3 linked regions of the Caenorhabditis elegans genome follow. Each later gene encodes a partner of the first gene's protein in a complex. Each region holds a gene or a part of one and is shown on either strand. Other genes may lie near its edges.

Evidence for each region. The genes of interacting proteins can lie anywhere in the genome.
Region 2: sur-2 (region 1) and dpy-22 share a complex: the UniProt entries of both Caenorhabditis elegans proteins name them as parts of the mediator complex.
Region 3: sur-2 (region 1) and mdt-18 share a complex: the UniProt entries of both Caenorhabditis elegans proteins name them as parts of the mediator complex.

The regions. Positions count from the first base shown.
Region 1 is NC_003279.8:14,781,382-14,789,445, reverse strand, and holds the start of sur-2 (Mediator of RNA polymerase II transcription subunit 23), read left to right. Parts: upstream 1-1,642; 5' UTR 1,643-1,649; coding exon 1,650-1,760; intron 1,761-1,825; coding exon 1,826-2,019; intron 2,020-2,103; coding exon 2,104-2,485; intron 2,486-3,483; coding exon 3,484-3,747; intron 3,748-3,802; coding exon 3,803-3,975; intron 3,976-4,798; coding exon 4,799-5,066; intron 5,067-5,554; coding exon 5,555-5,675; intron 5,676-6,009; coding exon 6,010-6,383; intron 6,384-6,615; coding exon 6,616-7,108; intron 7,109-7,520; coding exon 7,521-7,734; intron 7,735-7,782; coding exon 7,783-7,894; intron 7,895-7,944; coding exon 7,945-8,064. Other genes in the region: F39B2.3 (15-oxoprostaglandin 13-reductase), read left to right, coding at 1-315, 399-481, 677-1,228. UniProt on the Caenorhabditis elegans protein: Component of the Mediator complex, a coactivator involved in regulated gene transcription of nearly all RNA polymerase II-dependent genes.
Region 2 is NC_003284.9:9,817,563-9,824,052, reverse strand, and holds the start of dpy-22 (Mediator of RNA polymerase II transcription subunit 12), read left to right. Parts: upstream 1-1,779; 5' UTR 1,780-1,882; coding exon 1,883-1,990; intron 1,991-2,162; coding exon 2,163-2,270; intron 2,271-2,319; coding exon 2,320-2,543; intron 2,544-2,628; coding exon 2,629-2,872; intron 2,873-2,917; coding exon 2,918-3,015; intron 3,016-3,081; coding exon 3,082-3,258; intron 3,259-3,302; coding exon 3,303-4,884; intron 4,885-4,948; coding exon 4,949-5,048; intron 5,049-5,100; coding exon 5,101-6,409; intron 6,410-6,459; coding exon 6,460-6,490. Other genes in the region: GTPase-activating protein rrc-1, read left to right, coding at 1-89. UniProt on the Caenorhabditis elegans protein: Component of the Mediator complex, a coactivator involved in regulated gene transcription of nearly all RNA polymerase II-dependent genes.
Region 3 is NC_003279.8:6,490,611-6,495,802, reverse strand, and holds mdt-18 (Mediator of RNA polymerase II transcription subunit 18), read left to right. Parts: upstream 1-1,955; 5' UTR 1,956-1,971; coding exon 1,972-2,016; exon of another isoform or gene 2,017-2,058; coding exon 2,059-2,133; intron 2,134-2,186; coding exon 2,187-2,302; intron 2,303-2,355; coding exon 2,356-2,420; intron 2,421-2,471; coding exon 2,472-2,758; intron 2,759-2,807; coding exon 2,808-2,918; 3' UTR 2,919-2,981; downstream 2,982-5,192. Other genes in the region: uri-1 (Unconventional prefoldin RPB5 interactor), read right to left, coding at 1-256, 314-1,159, 1,203-1,316, 1,442-1,474; dbr-1 (Lariat debranching enzyme), read left to right, coding at 3,077-3,250, 3,374-3,838, 3,885-4,034, 4,084-4,230, 4,305-4,568, 4,632-4,934. UniProt on the Caenorhabditis elegans protein: Component of the Mediator complex, a coactivator involved in the regulated transcription of nearly all RNA polymerase II-dependent genes.

The DNA.
Region 1 (8,064 bases):
CTGTAGTCCGACGATTCGGAGCACCTGATGTCATAGAAGCCGTCGAGAGTGATATGCCCAGGCTTGAAAAAAACCAGGTTCTCGTTCGGAATTACGCTGCCGGTGTCAATCCAGTTGACACATATATTCGTGCTGGTCAGTATGGAAAACTACCAAATCTTCCATATGTACCAGGAAAAGATGGAGCCGGATTCGTCGAACTTGTGGGAGAAAGCGTTAAAAATGTGAAAGTCGGCGATCGAGTCTGGTATGGATCAGAAGCGGACAGTACAGCAGAGTATGTTGCGGTGAATCGACCATTCGAGTTGCCGGAAGGTAAAAGAATCATTGCGCAACGGGTTACTGTAGCTAGTTGCCCGCGTGGCGAGACCTAAGATATAGCTAAAATCTCATTTCAGGAGTTTCGTTTGAGGAAGGAGCTTCTCTCGGAGTGCCTTATCTTACCGCTTATCGTGCATTGTTTCATCTTGCTGGTGCAAAGGTTTGACTTTTATTTATTATTAAATGGTTCATAGAGAATATTAAAATTTTGGCAAAAACGTATCAAAATTAGGAGGCAAAATCAATACAAATCAATCTTTACAAAGCCAACTTGACCATCTGTTCCATCTCAAACAAGGGGCGGTCTAAAATACGACCATCTGCTGTTCCCTCCCAAAACTAATTCTCTTCTCAGACTGGCGACGTTATACTTGTACACGGAGCATCTGGTGGAGTGGGAAGTGCACTGATGCAGCTGGCTGCCTGGAGGAACATTGAAGCTGTTGGCACTGCTGGATCTGCTGATGGGATCCGGTTCGTGAAGAGTCTTGGTGCACGGAATGTCTATAATCATTCGGATAAGCAATATGTGTCGAAAATGAAAAATGATTATCCAGGAGGCTTCAACCACATTTTCGAAATGGCTGCTCACACAAATCTGAACACGGACCTCGGATTGCTGGCTCCACGTGGTAGAGTTGCAGTAATTGGAAATCGCGCCGAGACCACGATCAACGCAAGACAACTTATGGTTACAGAAGGAGCTGTTTACGGTGTAGCATTGGGAATGTCTTCCGAGGCTGAGCTCTTGGACTTTGGCATCAACATTGTCTCATTCTTGAAGGAAACCGAGTTTCGTCCACTTATAAACAAATTGTATCGTCTCGAGCAATTAGGACTGGCTCATGAGGAAATTATGAACAACAAGGGAGCGAAAGGAAATCTTGTAGTGCAAATCGAACATTAATTCATTATTTTAACACGCCATTTAAAGGAATGTAAATGAGAATAAACTGTACTTTTTATGAAGATATGAAAAAAATAAATTAATCTAGATTTCAGCTTCTTGAAACTGATTTTCAACAGAAATTTGGCAAATCAGTCCAAATGTCAGTTTACCTACAATAAAAGTCAAGATATTTAAATGTGTGAAATGTATTATATATGTAGTAGTTTTTTCGCAGAACTCTGGTAGAGTTCAAATCCGCAGAATATGCGTGAACGAAGAGACCACACACCAAGCGCGCTCTATTGTCACGCGTGAGAGAGAAGAGGCGCAGTAATATCTTTCTCAAACAATGCGTTTTTAATTTTTATCAACCTATTTTGTTTCAATTTATTATTTTAACATTTTTCTTTTGAAAATTATTACATTTTCAGGCAACAAAATGACGGATAAACCTGGTTCCGCAGAAGATACAATTGAAATGGATGACACGTGCTCTCCGCAATTTGTTCAGGAAGTCAATCGAATAAAGAGTCAAATTAAAAGTCTCGTTGTGAGTTTTTTAAATCAAAAATAACGCTTAAAAAATTAAACATAACTCATAAAAATATATTCTAGGAAGAAAACCACACAAGAAAATTTTTTCGACCTCTTACGTCGAATATTGGCGACGAGACGGCGATTTTACGGATTCAATTCAATAATATGATGAGTAAAATGGAAGAAAAAGAAAAACAATCTTTAGTGAAAGAGCTAATAAAAATGGTTCATCACGTGGCGGAAAAGAACTCTCCTGATCGAGTTTTTGTTGGGTGAGAATTTAAAAATTCGAAAAAAAAACAATTTTAACAGTTCTTTTGCATATAATCAGAGGTTTTAACAGTGTTTTATTCCAGAACAAACTACGAACGTGTCGTAGATCAGCTTCTCCGATATGCTCATCAAAAAGGTGCGATTTCAACGAATCTGTGCGCAGAAGGACTCATAATGACTTCGGACTTCCGATTATGCAGTAGAATATGCCAAGAAAAATGGAAATTCATCAATGATTGCATTCCAAAAATCGATTACAAAGGAATTCGGAATATCCTCCGATATATTCTGGAATCACAGCTCCGTCGCCTACCGTATTCACTATCTCCGGAGCAAGTAAACGAAATCCGCATTGTTGAGAATGTAATACTGCATATTGTGGATAGAGACTCCAATTTGATGCCTCCACTCATCACATTATCAGAAATTATGAGAGGAATGCCGAAACAGGCGCTTATGCTGCCGGTGAGGGGAAAATTTTAAAAAAAATTGCTGAAAATATAAAGACAATGTAAAAATTTAGATTTGTTAATTTTTTTTTTCGGCAAAAAAAACACAAAAAAAAGATCTCTCTACATTCAAAAAGTCGAATTTTTTTTTGGCGGAAACCAAAAAAAAGTTCGACCATTCTCGCAAAGTTTCTAATTTCTGTGCATTTAGTTTTTGAGTTACAGAAAGTAAACCAAATTGAATACTACAGAAGTTTTAAAAAACTTAATTTAAGCCATAAAAAAATGACGGGAAATTTCTTCTGATTTCTAAATTTTCAGTTTCTCAACATTTTATTTGAAGTTTTTACCAAGGGTGGGCGGCAATTACCGTTCGGCAAATCGGGCAATTTGCTGGTTTACCGATTTGCCGTTTACCGGATGTTAAATTTTCCGCAAATGTTTTGAGGGATTTTTTCATAAGACTGAAACACTTAAAACTGTGACTTTTTGGGCTGTTTTTCCCTTTTCCTCAGATATTTTTATAGAATTTGCTTACTTTTCAAAAAAGATGTAGAAAAAAACATTCAAACACTCACAGGATGCGTACAATTCTGAAATTCCCAAAAAATTAGTGCGAAACCACAATTTGCCAAAAATTTTCGACAATTGGTATTTTTCCGGTAAATTCGGAAATTTGCCGGTTTCACGATTTGCCGGAAATTTCAATTCCGGCACTTTGCCGATTTGCCGAAAAAATCGTTTGCCACACACCCCTGATTTGTATGCTGATTGACTGAAAAATCACCTTCATCGACGAAAAATTATCTGAATGTACAAAACCACAATTTGCCGAAAAATTTCGGCAATTTGCTGATTTTCCGGCAATCTGCTGATTTGCCGGAAATTTCAATTCCGGCAATTGTGGATTTTTTTTGCAAAAAGCGGCTCGAGATGAGTCACGGATCGACCCATCTCGATTCATTTACCAAGCCTATATTTCTTAAGATTAAATTAAAATGCCAAATATTACAGAGACTAACGGAGAAACTGGCAAGCTTATCCGTCCATTTCCGACCAATTGCCGACCTATCCCACGTGTGTGGCCGTGGATTCGTTTACCCCATTCCACTACATCCATCATTCTATCCATTAACATCGTGTTGGGAAGAACATGGATTAAATGCCAGTAATACAATTGTTCAACCTCATCATACACTTCCATATCGTCCTGAACATACTTCTACATACTTGTACACCCTCTACATGATTCTTCGTCAGCCATTGGGAAAGGACTCGGTATGAAATTGAGAATATATATATTTTAAATAACTTATCCCGAATTAAGTTTCAGCTTCATCCTCCGAGCAAAACGAAGACAAAGACAAATTGGGAAATGTTGATATCTGTAATGATATGTGAATCAATGGCCGAAGCAGAATCTCTACCGGAAACTGAGCCAATTCCACGATATCAATGGGACAATATTGTTAATATTGTTATTTATGGGATTACACAACATTTATTGTTAGTGTATTTCAAATTTTTCGATTTTGCGAAACCCGAAAAACAAAAATATTCCTTTTTTCAATTATTTTTCGCAAATTCAGAAAAAAAATCCAATTTTTTACTTTTAAAGTAAAATTCTAAAAAATCCGAACATTTCGATTTCCGACATTCAGGAAAGCTAAATTTTTGGGTTTTTCAAAGAGAAAATCGAAAAAAAAAAGATTCTATTTGAAAAACACAAGTTTTGAATTTCAAAATTGTCTTGAAAAGCCAGAAATTTGAAAGTAGAGCTAATAATTTAATTTAAAAACTAAGCGTTTCAATTTTTGGTTTATTTCTGAAGGAAAAAAAAATCCAAAATCAAAATTCTTAGGATAAAAGCTATAATTTAAACAAAATCTTTTGAAAATTCTTCAAAAATCTGAATGTTCTTGACTTTTAGACCTTCAAAAAAAAATCGAAAAACCAAAATATTTCTTTTTTTCAATTATTCTTAGAAAATTCCAGAAAAATCCAATTTTTCACTTCTTAAATAAAATTTCGAAAAAAAATACCGAAACTTAAGATTTTCTTGAAATGTTTTTAAAAAAAAATTTACCAAAAAACAAAACTTTAGATTTCCGACATTTAGAAAAATTGAAAACCAAAATCTTTAATTTTTCTTGTAACTTTTTCTTTTAAAAAATCCAAAAAGAGAAGTTTTGGATAATAGATATTCTCGAAAATCTGGAAAAATTATTTTTTAAGTCTAAAATCTATCGAAATTTTGAGTTTTTGTTCCCTAAAAGCTAATGTTTTCGATATTGAGACCTTAGAAAAAACCGAAAAATAGCATTTTCAGAGTCCCAAAAACATTCTTCAATGTTCTCAAAAATTTGATAAAACGATGCAAGTACACACGGGCTCGCGACGAAGTTATGTGGATCGTTTTTCAAGTTGTCGGCTCTCTGTCTAATTTAACACGACTCGATGATGCGGTGACTGAAATTGTTGAGCTGTACAATGAGCTGTTTGATGGAGATGTTGTTTGGATGGGTGCATCGGATCATCCCGCGTTGTTTGCAAGGTTTCTTGCTGCAGCTGGTACTTGGATGATTTTGGAGAAAGATGTCAGTAGTAGTCTTTTTTGTTGGAAAATTCTAAAAAAGAGAGTCTGCAATCCAGAAAAACTACAAAAAATTGATGCAGCTTTTCAAATTTTTCAATACATTTTTTCACAACTTTTGAGGTCGGTAAAATGGCTCCAAATATGAATTTTTGCAGTTTTTAAAAATGATGTTATGTTCAGGGGCCGGCAAAAATCTAGCATTTTTTTTTGAAAATTTAGAAAATTTTTTTAAAAAAAGATTCTGAATGTTTGCCGGCCCCTGAACATCCTAAAAATCTGCAAAAATTTACATTTGGAGCCATTTTACGGATCCCAAAAGTTGTGAAAAATTGCACTGAAAATTTTTCATAGCGACTTGAAATACTTTCCTTTTAAATTAAAAATTATGGCTTTCAAACATTTTTTTTTCTTTTTTTTTGTCTTGTATTTCTAAATTTTAGACTGTTTTAGGGATTTTACAGTTTTTTTTTTGAATTCTGAAACTTTCAGTTCGCCGACAAAATGCCACCGGCCAATGAGACAATTAAATCGCATATCAAGTTTATTCAAGACGGTGTTGATAATTTCGATTCAAGCAACACTGCAATGTTGGCGGTTCTGTCGAATATTTGTAGGTTGTTTTATTATTCAAGCATTGCAAAAATCGCAAATTCAACAAAAAACCATAAAAAGTTCCTTCCAATTTTTTCTGAAAAAATCTATAAAAAAGAGGAATTTTCCTTTTTTTCTCCATTGTTTCAGGTAAAAAATCGGAACAAATTTCATTTTAAAATTCTCTCCAATAAACACCGAAAAATCGAGAATGGTCGGTTTTCAAACTGAAAAACACCGAAAAATGTTTTTAAAAAGTTGCTTCTTCAAATCTTTTCCGAAAGAATAATAAAATATATACTAGAAAAAAAATATTTACTAGAAAAAATAATCAAATCTAACCCGCAAAAAAGTTCTAGATCGAACGGATACAAAAATGGGAAAACTGATCGTTCCAACACTTCAACAAATGCTCGAATCAATTGATGACACTAAATCGCTATTTGAACTATCCTACAAAAGAATGGCTGTCAACTGTTTCTCAGCATTTCCAGTAGAATTCATGGAAGCATTGACGTTCCGATCGAAGAAAACTCTGTTAATTCAATGTTTCCAACCACTTCGTTCATTTTCAACAGTTCGTCTTCCAAGCCCTGCGGTATTTGAAACTGTAGCGAAGATTTGTGAATCAGAAGATTATGAGATGGCTGTAAAGGATATGGAACATTTAGCACAAAGATCTCTTCACGTGGCAACTGCTGCAGATAGATCATCTGGTGAACATCAGGTTAGATTTTGAAAAAAAGTCTTATAGTATGTATAATTGAAAAAAATTAGCATTGTCGAAGAATTTATTCCTGACAGTAAAATTTAATGCAAATTTCGATATACATATGAAATGCATATACGAAAATCATACTTTGCTTTTATTTATAAATTTTATAAATTTTTTGAACACTTTAAATTTTAATTTGGTCAAAAAATTCCAGGCATATGAATAAAAATAATAATATTCTCAGAACGTCCAAGCAAAAGATCAATGTTACTTCCTATTCGATTTTCTCGTCTACCGACTTCCCCACCTACATGCCTATTCAAAATATTCATCAACAGTGAATGCACTATCATACTTCACTCAACACATTCCGAATAATCCACAAAACCATCAAATCTACCGTCTCATGGAGCAATTTCTAATGCGAAGATGGTGCTGGGCAGGATTTCACGGATGTATTACGGCACACACTCAGATGTTCGGAACGAGTTATAAGGATAATACAATGATGAGACATATGGCCTATCCGAAGACGTTCTCTGTGCCCGATCAATATCCATTTGCGATTAATCCGGAGATTTTTAAAATGGCGATTTATAGTTTCTTGAGAGCTGTTAAGATTACGGCACAAGACATTGCTATCGAGAAGACTATGTTTCCAACTATTATTAATGGATTCGGATGGCCTGAAAAATCAACATCATACTTTCCAAAGTGGGCACTAGATGCAATTAAAGGTAATTTTATTGCTAATAGTAAATATCATCATTTTCTAAATTTGAACTGCAAAAACAAAATTTTTTTGTATTTTTTGCACCGATAAATCGAAAAAATTCAAAAAAAAGTTTCATTTTTAAGAGTAAATCAATAAAAATCGGAAAAATAAAAAATAAAAAATTTTATAGCTATTCCAAAAAATTGTAGATTTTGATTTAAAAAAATTAATTGGCGAGAATTATTTAAATCTGATTTTTTTTCCAACAAAAAATTTTGCAATTTTCCTTTTATTTGAAAAATATATCACCATAGCAATATAAAATGTTTTTAAATTTATAGACATCAAATTACTTGGGGTTTTCTGACAAATCGACAACTTTTTTATAGAAATAACTACACATCCTGAAACCTAGTAATAATACCTATTTGCAGCCTCGGACACCTCGAACGCAGTGAACACTGAGGAAATTCTATCAGATGTCCGTAACACGGCACGAATGCACACATCATTAACACCAAATCAATTTGTGATCAGATATGGCGAGGATAGAGATCCGGCGACATCTCATTGTATGCTGGCTGTTTTATTTCATTTTGCATATAATTCGGTTGATTCTACGTATAATATCACTTCAGAGTTTTATGAGTGAGTTTTAAACACAGGTTCTTGGAGGTTAAATTGAAAAATTTTCAGAGTAATGGAAAAGAAGACACCAAAAGAAATTGTTGTAATGGGAAACTATCTGGTCGATTATATAATTGCTGATGCAAAAACTCAAGATTGCAACGAGAAGACTTTTAAGAATGTCCGAATTTTTGAATTATTTTAATCAGACTTAAAACAATAAGTTTTCAGATAGCAAAAGCCGCTGCCCTCTTGGTATTCCAGTTCCAAGTTCTGCGTGCTGACCGACTTCTACTCTCACTAATAATGCATCCAGCTACAGATGAGGATGCGTTGATATGTATTCAAATC
Region 2 (6,490 bases), on another chromosome or scaffold:
ATCAACGAGAACCGATAACTAACCTTTCTCCAGCTGCACAAATGCTCTTTTTCGAATCTTCTCGAGCCAGTCATTTGTTCTCTGCATAATTGAATTTCCACCTCTTTCATGATATTTTTGTTCATTGTATTGTTGACTACTTTTTCAACTTTATTTCTTTATCGTCTTAAATTTTTAAAGAACCAGTGTTCCATTTTTTCATTTCCTCATATTTTTCTTCTACTTCTCAATTGTCTTCAAGCAATTCCTGATCATTTTTATTTTGTTTCGTGTTTTTGATTATAAATTATTTATATACAAACACACAATTTTCAAACAATTGTGATGCGTGATAACATCGCTGAATTGTATTTTTGAAATTATAAAAGAAACGCGGAATACAAGACCTAATTACTAGAATTTACTGAATTTAAATAAACACTTTTTAGTGATTTATTTCGTTTTGAAAATTTTCCGCGATCCTGATTTGAAGAATTATAACAATTTCAATCAATTCTAATTTTTATTTTCAATATTTTGTTCAAAGTTCAAAACGATATTGTGGAGTTGTAAAAAAAATTAAAATATATATTCAAATATGCATTACATTGAAACATCAATCGGGGGATTTGCCCTATGACATTCTGAAATGAAGAAACTTAGAGTTTTTTTCTTCCGTTTTCATATAATTTTATCTGACATATGACATTTTCTCTCATCATTTGTCCTTTCTCATAAATTTAAATTTGCGAGAATGTGATTCTAACTGCAGACAATACCCAGATGTTGGAATTTTTTGCGCGTAAGGTCGTTTTTAGCTTAGTTTCAAAAAAACTTCGCTGGTTTTTTGTATAATATCAGTAAACTGCCTGAACATCCGAAACCATATTCTGAAACAACGCGCATTAAAGTTATTAAAATTGCACATATTCAAATAACAAATATTATCAGTTCATGCTGATCTGTAGGTGATATGCATACTACTTGATTTCCTTTTTTTTTTTTGGGTTCACCATCTTGGAATATTAGCTCATTCACAACTCCCAAAAAAGTCTACTTTCTTATCGTTCTGAAAGTTGAAGTTTTAACGTATTTACCATTTCTTACAACAATACAATTTTCCCTGCAATTAAACAAACGACTTATGAGTGGACCATTTTGAGAAAATAGCGAGACAGTTCCGATCGATGGGTCTGTGTGCCTTGCTGTGCAGCACTCTCCATCTCTGCGTCTCTCTCTTCCATCAGTGTATTTCTTGCTGTGTTCTGTGTTCTCAGGGGCCAATTCTCTATTTCTTTCCAACTGCCTGCTACTCGCCGTTTGTGCGTTTCTTCCTCGCTTCTCTGCGTCTTTTTTACAGCCATCTTTGAATGTCATCATCCGTACTGGGGTTGATGTGTTTCTTTACAATCGATGAAAGGTGCTTTATGAATACATCTCTGTCCACATGTTGAGTTTAATTTTTCACTTTTTTTAAAAGCTCACATTGTGTTTTTTTAACTAATTGGGAACCCACAAAATTTTGAATATTGGATTTTGAACACAATTTTAGAGTTGGAAAAGTGAACTAGACATGAATGATGATATTCCAAAAAAAAAACTTTTTAATACTTATTTTTTTCACAATATTTTCTAAATAAATAGAACCCACTTTCCTTTAAATTCTTATTCGTTCCTCCTTTCATTTTTCTGTCAGTTTTTATGTTGTTATCACTTAAAAACGTCGCCTGATTGTATTTTTTCTTTTTCTTAACATATTATCTTCAAAATTTGGGAAGTTATTGCAAATAAAAAAATTTTAGCAATCATTTCGTACCCATCGACGTCAGTGGTAGACGACGAGGACGACGTCTACCCCGAGGATGGCGTCGCCTCGTGGTTTGACGAGCAGCCCGGCGAACGTATGCTCCGGAAAACCAACCTTCGAATGGGAACTGCTGATGTGTATAAACAAAACAAGAATCAAGAAGAGGATATGTTGACAACGGAACGATTAAAGAAAGGATATCAGGTGAGTGTCGTGCCAGGGCGAGGAAAAAGATGCTCAAACAGAGTGCAATGTAACTATGGAGGTACTAGGGGATGATTAGCTTGGTGTGTGGCTAGATGTTTGATGAGCGTAAAAAGAAACAGAGAAAGCACACGTGAGGATATGAATTATACAACCCGAGTTTTGATTTTAGATGCCATTAACGCAATACGAGCTTCAATCATTGGTTTTCAACGCATCGGAAAATAAGCTAATTCGTCTGGAGAAAGCTCAAAAACGATCTCAGTCTATGATTGCTTCTGTGAGTCATTTTCAACAATTATATAAGTGAGTAAATATGTTAATTTCAGGTTATTCACAAAAAAGGAGAGTTCCACATGAATTATGACAGAGAACGTAAAATTCCAAAGGAACAACTTCCGTGTTTTGCACCACATAACTGGAAACGAATTTTGTCAGATCGAGTGAAATTCTTTTCGGCATTAGCTAGAGGAACTCCTCTTCAACAACTTTCACAAAGAATCCCTGGATTTAGAAGGAAAGAACTGCTCTTTTTGGAGTTTAGCGATTATAAGTGAGTTGTTTTTAAAATTCACAATTAAAACAAATGTGAATTATACTGTGCTAACTGAAGAATGTTCTAAAGTTGCCTATTTCAGCATAAGCTACGATCGGGCAATATGGTGTGTGAAACTTCTTTGTATCCTTGGTTTCAACTCTTCAAGCAAGACACAAAAGAAAACATTACTTGACGTTGCAACTCTAGAACTGAGCCAAGCATGCAACAAAACAACAATTTGGCTCGTAACCCAGCTTTACAAATCTTTTCGAAATCCCATAAAACGAAGAGAGGCTACTAAAACATGGAATTATTTGACTGGATTCATGAAGTATATGTTTGATGTAAGAGTTTTATTTTTAACAGAAATTTTATTAGTTTTGTTATAGGATGGTGTCCTTGATAAACAGGAGTTTCTCAACGATCTCACGGAAGTTTTCAATCAGTTGTTTTTGCAGAAAAACTTTAAGAACCCTTCAGTTTTAAGGTAAGCACTGCAAACTTTTCCAAATTAGATAACCCATGAACTGATATTGTATTAATAACATTTCAGCACATTCATGAAATATTATGTGTATTTTGTCGAAGATCTCAGCTCCAGTCTGGTGTTAGCTAGACGGTCCTCCACTCTGCTTTGCCAAGCACTTGGTTTTCTATTCGAAATGGCACAGGATAAAAGGAAAATTGATGCGTACTACGATTCTGCTAATAAAACTTTCATTAAGAAAGAGTAAGACTTAAATTTATGAGAGTTACAAAAAATCAAAAATTCAGATTTGAAAATGAAGATGGCGAAATTTACGAGTTTGAAGATTACGATGACTTCATTGATATGTTGGACGAGATTCCTGATGTACCCTACTTTGATGAGACTGACAAAACACCAGAAGCACAAGCTGAAGAACTTATCAAGCAGCATGAAAAACGAAAGGCAGGCTCACTCAAAAAGTCTGAAAGGAGGAGAAGAAGAGGATTGTCAAAAAATCGGCCAAAAAAAATGCCACAGAATCCTTCGAATGAAGCTTCTCTTGATCACGATAAAGTACAGATTAAACAAGAACCGATGGACTATGATGAGTATGGAGGTCAACAATCAGACAATTCTATGGATTATGACTCTTTCTCACATCAATATGATCCATCATATGAGCCTTTACCTTTCAAGCCACTTCACACAGATATTCCAAAAAAACTCACTGACGATGAGGAGTTCAAGTACATGAAGATAGGCAAGAGATCTGTCACTCCTGAACGTATTAGTGGTCGCTATGGTTCAATGACGTATCCTTTCTGGATTCAGCAGGGCGGAGTTGGAATTGATCCACCAAAAGATGAAGTACTGGATTTCTCCAATCCAACACCAACGGAAACTGTCAACACGCAGCCACAAATTGATTTTGAATCATCTCCCAGCGCTTCGCCAGCTCTTTCTGTCGATAAAGAAAATGAATGTGAAAAGAAAGAAGATGAATCTAAAACTAAGGAGAAGAACAAAGATAAGGAGAAAGACAAGGAAAAAGAAAAATCTGTTGATGAGCATACGAATGATCTGGATGTTCCGATAAATCCTGACGATGCTGAAATGGCTGATGCAAATGATAAAACCGATGCTTCTGAAAAACAAAAATTAGTTGAAGAAGAACCTACCGGCAAAGAAAATGAAGATGATACCAGTTCAAAAACGGCAAAGACGTCTACATCAGCAGAGAAATCCGAAGCTCCCTCCATTGTCGATTCTAATGACAAAATTGATAAGGAGCCAAATGCAAGTTCAACAAGTAACGATGAAACTTCTAAAGATGACACAGTTCCCATGGAATCAGATCCACCAGCTGCCACTGAAAAACCAAAAGAATCCACTGAAATTACCACCGAGGAACCACTGGAAGTCGACAAAGCGCCTGAAGTTGATAAGTCTGAGAAAGAACACGAAGATGATATTATGATCATTGAGTCCAACAAAAAAGCAGACGAGGATGACTGTGTTGTTATAGCTGTGGTGGATCCTGATCAGGAACAAACTCCGGAAAGTGAGAAGAAAAAAGATGGCGAAGAAGAAAGGGACAAAAACAAGGATACAGATGTGGCGGATAACGAACCCGAGAAAATTTATACCGACGAGGAACTCGCTGAAATCAAAATCCGCAAAGAGAAGGAAATGAAAATTGCAACTTTGGCTTCCCATATCAAAGAGAAAATGGTGTCAGACAAAAAATGGAAAGAGAAAACTAGCCACGCAGGATGGAGAACACTTGATCAATGCAGTCAGTTCAGTGAAGCGCTTCATTTGCTCTCAAGCATGGTGCAGTACATGGCATGTGTTACTCCAGAAAGCTTTGTTTGGAACGATCTTTCAGTAAGTTTTGAAAGCTTTTGCTGTAGCTATGTTCAGAGAACACAAATATGCTTTAAATTTTCAGGTTCAACAAGAAGAACGTCGACATAGAATCCTACCACAACTGTGCGGATCACCTTTGGATTATTTGCCATGTGAACTCCACAAACTACCAGTCATGGAAGGTTTGTTATATTTTATCAATTGCCAAAAACATGTGTATATTCAATTTTACAGGTGTAGAAGAAGTGGTGGATTGTCTTCGTTTACGCCATTGTGAAATCGTTCGAAGAAGTCAGGCTGCCGAAGACAGGTGGCTACCAAATGCTGCATTTCTGCAGAGCTTTGGTAGAATCATTGATACTTGTGTAGATGTGATTGGAATAATGGACAATATTGATGTTGAGAAACCAAACGCCATTACAAACGCTGGACTTCGACTTTTTGCATTCCGAGAAAAATTTGAAAAGCAGGAAGCTCTCTTGAAAACAATGCTCATGTTTAAATGGTGCATAACGGAGGAGCGTGAAGGATCATTCCGTGCGACTTACATCGCGAAACTTCTACGCTTTGGAATGGATCAAAATCCAGAGAACACCATTGGAGGTTGGCAGGTCATGGATCTTTTCTTCAAGTTTATGTCCACTGAAGGTCCCAAACACGGAAGCAAAATGTATCAAGCTCACTTTGATTCCACGGTTGCTATCATGATTGAGATGATGAGAGAAAAGATATTTTCCATTACTGATATTCTAAGAGAACTGGAAAAAGATTCGGATTTGGATTACAATGCTCCTTTGATGGAAAGACAACGAAAACAAAAAATCCCGAAAATTTCCAAGCGACATAGAAAACCAGAAACTCCAGATGACACCAAACTCGTACATTTCACCACAGAATACACACCGAAGAGATTGTTCATGGGAAAGAAAATGGATTTGTTGGAGCGTATGATCATTATTTTGCCACAATTAGATGTTGACGAGGATACTGACGAGTATCGATTGCGAAGACTGCTCCTGTTCGGATTGAAACCTGCTGCGAATGTATATTTCCGACGAGCTCGTGCTATTTACAAGAGCATTACGAAGGAATTCACAACTCGGTTATACATTGAATTTGATCGATCTTCCAAAGTCACCACCGCTCATAAAAAGATTAATCAGAACCGCCTAGACGATCTTTTGAGACAATTCCGAGCACAAACCTATCATGACCAACATCTGATTTTGGAACGTATTGTCTATAATTTCATCGACGGGATTGGTGGATTTTTGAAAAAGAACTGTGACGATGTTCCAGCTCCAGAAGTGGCCAATATTATTTGCGAAATGTACGAGTTCAGCATGGATATCACGTCAATTTTCGACTTCTTTGAAATGGTGAATCCGTATTTGAAGGCAGTTGACGACAAGATTGCTCATTTCCGAATGGATGTTCTTCCAGACATGTATTACACAGAAACGGCATTTATTTTTGTCTCATTTTTTATGAAACACTGGCAAAGATTCCTTTTGCATCCGCGAGCATGTGCAATTGTCAATCAGTGAGTTTCAATTTGATTTCAAATATTTAAAATTCATTAATACGTTTCAGGTGTTTTGTGCTAATCCAAGACATGATTCGA
Region 3 (5,192 bases), 8.3 Mb from region 1:
ACGGATTCTTCTCAACAATTTCTCCTGGAAATGTCATTGTGCTCATCGCAGCAAGTTCCTTTTGCTCGGGTTCGAGAGCTGAACGATCAACGGGTGTTGGTTCAGTGCTCCGGAGAATTGATTTGGTTTCAATAACTGAATCTTCTTCCTTGATTTCGACAGTGTCTGTTTGATGGAATGTTTTCACATTTTCAAGCTGTTGCGCAAATCGAACTCCCGATTTTTTCCGTTTGACGGTGGTTTTTGTTACGGTTTCCTAAAAATTGTGTGTTAAAATAATAGTGAATTGTTTCTATTTAGTATTTGAAATTACCTCAACAATTTCTTCGACCTTAATCACTTGGGTCTCTATCTTTTTGGATTTCAGTTGTTGGTCAGAATTATTGCTTTTCTCGATATTATCATCAGATGCATAATCATCAGAGTCGAGTTCTTCTACACTATTGTTAAGATTCTCTTCATCATCGTCTCCTTCCTCTTCATCTTCATCATACTCCTCATCGGAACTCTCTTCATCACAAGTGTCTAAGAAATCTAACAGCCGTTCCATTTCCTTCTGTGTTACTCCAGGTTGTGCCAGCAAACGTTCATTCATTCCAAATCTTAGTTTTTTATCAGTTGGATCTTGTTCAACTTCCTCAACTTCCTCTAATTTACCCAAATCCTGTAAATCTTCGTTTGAAACTTCAAAAGGTTTCGGAATTGGAGCTTCTTCCATCTCATCATTGTCTTGTTCCAGTTTCTCTAGTTCTTCCAAACGGTTCATCACATCGTTGTGATCTTGGTCACCATTCAATTTGTTCTTTTCTATTATCTTCTCGTTCTGTTCATCATTTTGAGACATCTTTTTGTTTTTGCGATTTTGATAAAACAGTTTTTCCATCTCTTCATCGTATTTCTCGACAATTTCGATAGGTCCTCCATCAATCGAAACAGATGAGAAATTATCTTGAGCAAACTTTATTTTGTCATCCAACATTCGAATTGAATCGAGACCTTCCTCACGCTGCCTTCTCATTTCAGAAACTCTCCGATCCAAGATCTTTTCAGCTGTATGAATGCTGCATTCTCCGTAATAGTTTGCACCCATTTCCATCGTAACTTGATTCGTGCGAACTACATGGGCACCGCAGAAATAACCGACTTCGCAAATTTTCGCCTAAAAATTAGAATAAGATTATATGAGAGAGAATGTAATTTACCAAAATAGGAGCTTCCAACTTTTTCGAATATTCCTTTGCTCGTTCCAGAACTTTTTCATAGTTATCAGCAATGATTCTTCGACATTCGGTCTCAACTTCGAGCCGAGCTTTAGCCTGAAAAATTAAATTCATACAGACTTAATTATTTTTATACTATTTTAGGGAAACAAACTCGGAATTTAAAAACGAATTATTTTTGTCTTGTCGTTCATAATCATGTAAAAGGATTTTTAATTTACCGCATTGCATTCTGCAACGTAGAGTTCGCTCATTTTTTCAGATAGGTCTTCTTCACTCGTCACAGTCATTTTCTGCAAATCTTAGAGAGGTAATTCGGAGCGGAAAATGGGAAAAAATGTTAAAAAGTAACAATTTCCGAAAGCGCAATTTAAAAAAGTACAAAAAAGTACAAACTTTTATGGAGACACTACTGATTTCTGGAATCTGTTAAATCTTAGAAATGAACTCTTTCAGAATTTCAAACTTCTTTTTTTATATGCGTAAAACTTATCGCATATATTTTATGCAATATTGAAAGTAAGTAGAGTTTTAACCATTAAAGTAACTGAAACCAGAGTTTTATCGTAAAAATGGTAAAATATTCGGGAGTGTTGGTTTCCCTGGAAATGAGTCACGTAGAGTGTGAGTCCGCAAACACCAGCTGTGAATTGCGTAGAATACATTTAATATCACGCTCAAATAGTTTTGAATTAATTTAATTTTTTAAAAACATTTTTTATTCTGTTTATTTAGTTGATTCATTCAAAATATGGACAATTTAGTGGATATTGATGAAGATGGAACACAAGAAAAGGTATTTCGATTGTTAAAATCCATCTAAAACATTTTAATTCAGCTTTCTGTGAATTCAACTCCCTATCAAACACAAGAATGCGTTCTTTATGGATCTATTTTCGCAAAAAATGTCCCAGTTAGTTTTTAAAGTAATTGGACTAAATTCTAATACAAAAGTTTCAACTTTAGGACTTGGAACGACGTTTAGCCGGCCTTTGTGATCCGGGATGTGAGGAATTCTTCGAGCATGAGATGTCATTCAGCCTACGATCTTCGGGTATAATGGATATCAAAACCGATATTAAGTAAGCTTTTTTGTTTATCTATTTAAATATTTGCATGTATTTGATTTTTGAAGATTGCGAAGAAGATTCCGAACAGAACATCGAATTCAAAATTATTGGCAATTAAAGTACATTGGAGGTCGGTTTTAACCTTATAATTCGTATTTTATAATTTTTTGTTTTATTTCAGTTCCGGAACCAGATCAAAAATGCCCAACTATTGTTCGAAAAGAAATCAGTTCACTTGTCCATTCTCAGGATATGATGACGTATGCGAAATCCTTGGGTCTCCGCATGGACTATGAATATATGACACAAGGAAAATTGTGGACAAAAGGAAATATAAAGATTCTGCACTCAATATTGACTAGTACTTCTCGCGCAGGAACATATGATTCAAATTCAATCAAATCTGTTTCTGATTCTGCGTTAGTGGAAATCAGTATCTCATTGCCCGAGTCTGCAGAATACATGCCGGTAGGTTTTTTAGTAATAATTTCGAATTTATTTTTTCAACTCATTTTAGGCTGCCAAGTCTCTTCGTGATTTTGCCGATCAGCTGATGCCACTTGTTAATATGGAAAAAGTCGATTACTGGAAGAAAATGTTCCCAGCTCAAGCAGCTCCTCGTCGTTAATCTTCATTAATTGATTGATCTCACTTTGATACGTTATTTAATTTATAAAATTCACGAAGTATTCAATAATGTTAATATCCCACAAAGCTTCAATGGTTTATACCTTTTATTTTCTGATATCAACATTAAACATTTTTTTACTCCAATGAAAATTTAGAATGTCATCGAAAAATCCAGTAGATGAGCAACCTTGCTGTGGCTCCCATGAAGGTTCGCATCAAGATCCTGCTCCGGAGACGTTAGTAGTTGAAAAAGAAGTTAACAATGGGGAAAAGAAAATACGAATTGCTGTTGTCGGATGCTCTCACGGAGAAATGGATGCTATTTATGAGGTAAAATTTAAAAAAAAATCATATTTTTCGAACAAAATTAATGGCATATTTCAGATCTATTTTCTCTATTAGATTGTTTTAATTGCTATTTAAAATTACAACTATTTAAAAAAAATATTTCAGACAATGACACTAATCGAACAGAAAAATGGCTACAAATTCGATTTGCTGATCTGTTGTGGCGATTATCAAGCTGTCCGAAACTACGGCGACCTTCCACATATGAGTATTCCACCAAAGTACAGAAGTCTTCAAACATTCTATAAATACTATTCTGGAGAACAAAAAGCACCAGTTCTAACTCTATTCATCGGCGGAAACCATGAAGCATCTGGTTATCTATGTGAATTGCCTAATGGAGGATGGGTGGCGCCGAATATTTATTACATGGGATTCGCAAATTGCATTCGATTTGCTAACCTTCGTATCGCAGGACTCTCTGGAATTTTCTCGCAAGGAGATTTTCAATTTTCGCATTACGAACGCCCTTCGTTTTCGGAAAGAGATGTTAAAAGCGCATATCACGTTCGAAACGTTGATATGTTCCGGTTAAGACAATTGAAATCTGATAATGAAAATAAGATATCGGTATAAGCTTGAAAATTACTTTTTTATGAACATTTTCCTATTTTAGAACCCAATTGACATAATGCTCTCACACGATTGGCCTGGAGGTATTCCTGATTTTGGTGATAAGGAATGGCTTTTCCGGAAAAAGGATTTATTTGAAGCAGATCACAATAGTGGCAAACTGGGGAATCCTTCTGGAATGAAACTGATTTATGTATGTTTTTTGGTGATATTTGCAAAATTACTGTATGTATGTATTTTAGGATTGCCGGCCCAGATACTATCTTGCTGCACATCTTCATATTGCTTTTGCGGCCCTTGTTCCTCATAAAGGTTCAGGATCAGGCCGTCCACAGCCTACACGATTCTTATCACTGGATAAACCGATTCCTGGGAGAAAGTTTATGCAGGCAAGTCGTCACGTTCACTTTTTAAACTTCAACATTCAATATTATACAATCGAATAAATTTTTTCATTTTTCAGGCTCTCGAGTTGAATGTTGCAGACGATGCTAAACTGGAACTGTCATATGATCCACAATGGTTGGCTATTCTGAGAAATACAGATTTATTAACAACTGGAACAAAAGAACAGCTGATACTTCCCGATATGGCATCAAATCGTCCATGTGTCTACGAAAGAAAAGATTTTCGACCAACAGCAGAGGAGTTAAAAGAAATCGAAAAACTCGGAGATTTAACAATCAGAACTGACAGTTTCCAACAAACTGCGCCTCCGTTAAAAGAGGTAAGTGTCATCTCAGAATTTCGTGGATCTCTTAAGGATAGTAATTAAAACAACTGTTTACAGATTACGGAATCATCCAAAAATGTGCCACCAAGCGCCTACTACCGTAATCCACAATCTGCCGAGTTTTGTCAGTGGCTTGGTATTCGGGATCTTAATCAGATGCTCGTTGAAAAAACATCTGAACACGTTGGAACTCCGTACTACATGATGACTCAAGACGATGCGAACGCTAAACCAAATCAAGATGACGTGGATTTTGGTGACGAAGATTTTGTAATCGACAGAGGGCACACCTCCGATGAGCCAGAAGCGAAAAAAAGTAGATTGGACGAAGATAAGTTTGAAGCAGTACCATCCGAATGATGTTGAATACTTTACAACGTAGTTTCTAATTGAAGACCACATTGCCAAATATTTATTTTTTTGACATCAAGATATTGCCGTTTGTTGTTGTATACTCTATGTTAACATCTCAAAAAAACTTTAAATTGCCAAAAAAATAAAGCACCTCTCATGTTCACGTTTTCTCACAAACAAATATAGACTATGAAAATGCAGGGAGACTCCCAAATAAAAAAAAGCGGAAGAAGCAAGTCGATGCATTTACAATGGATGCTCTTT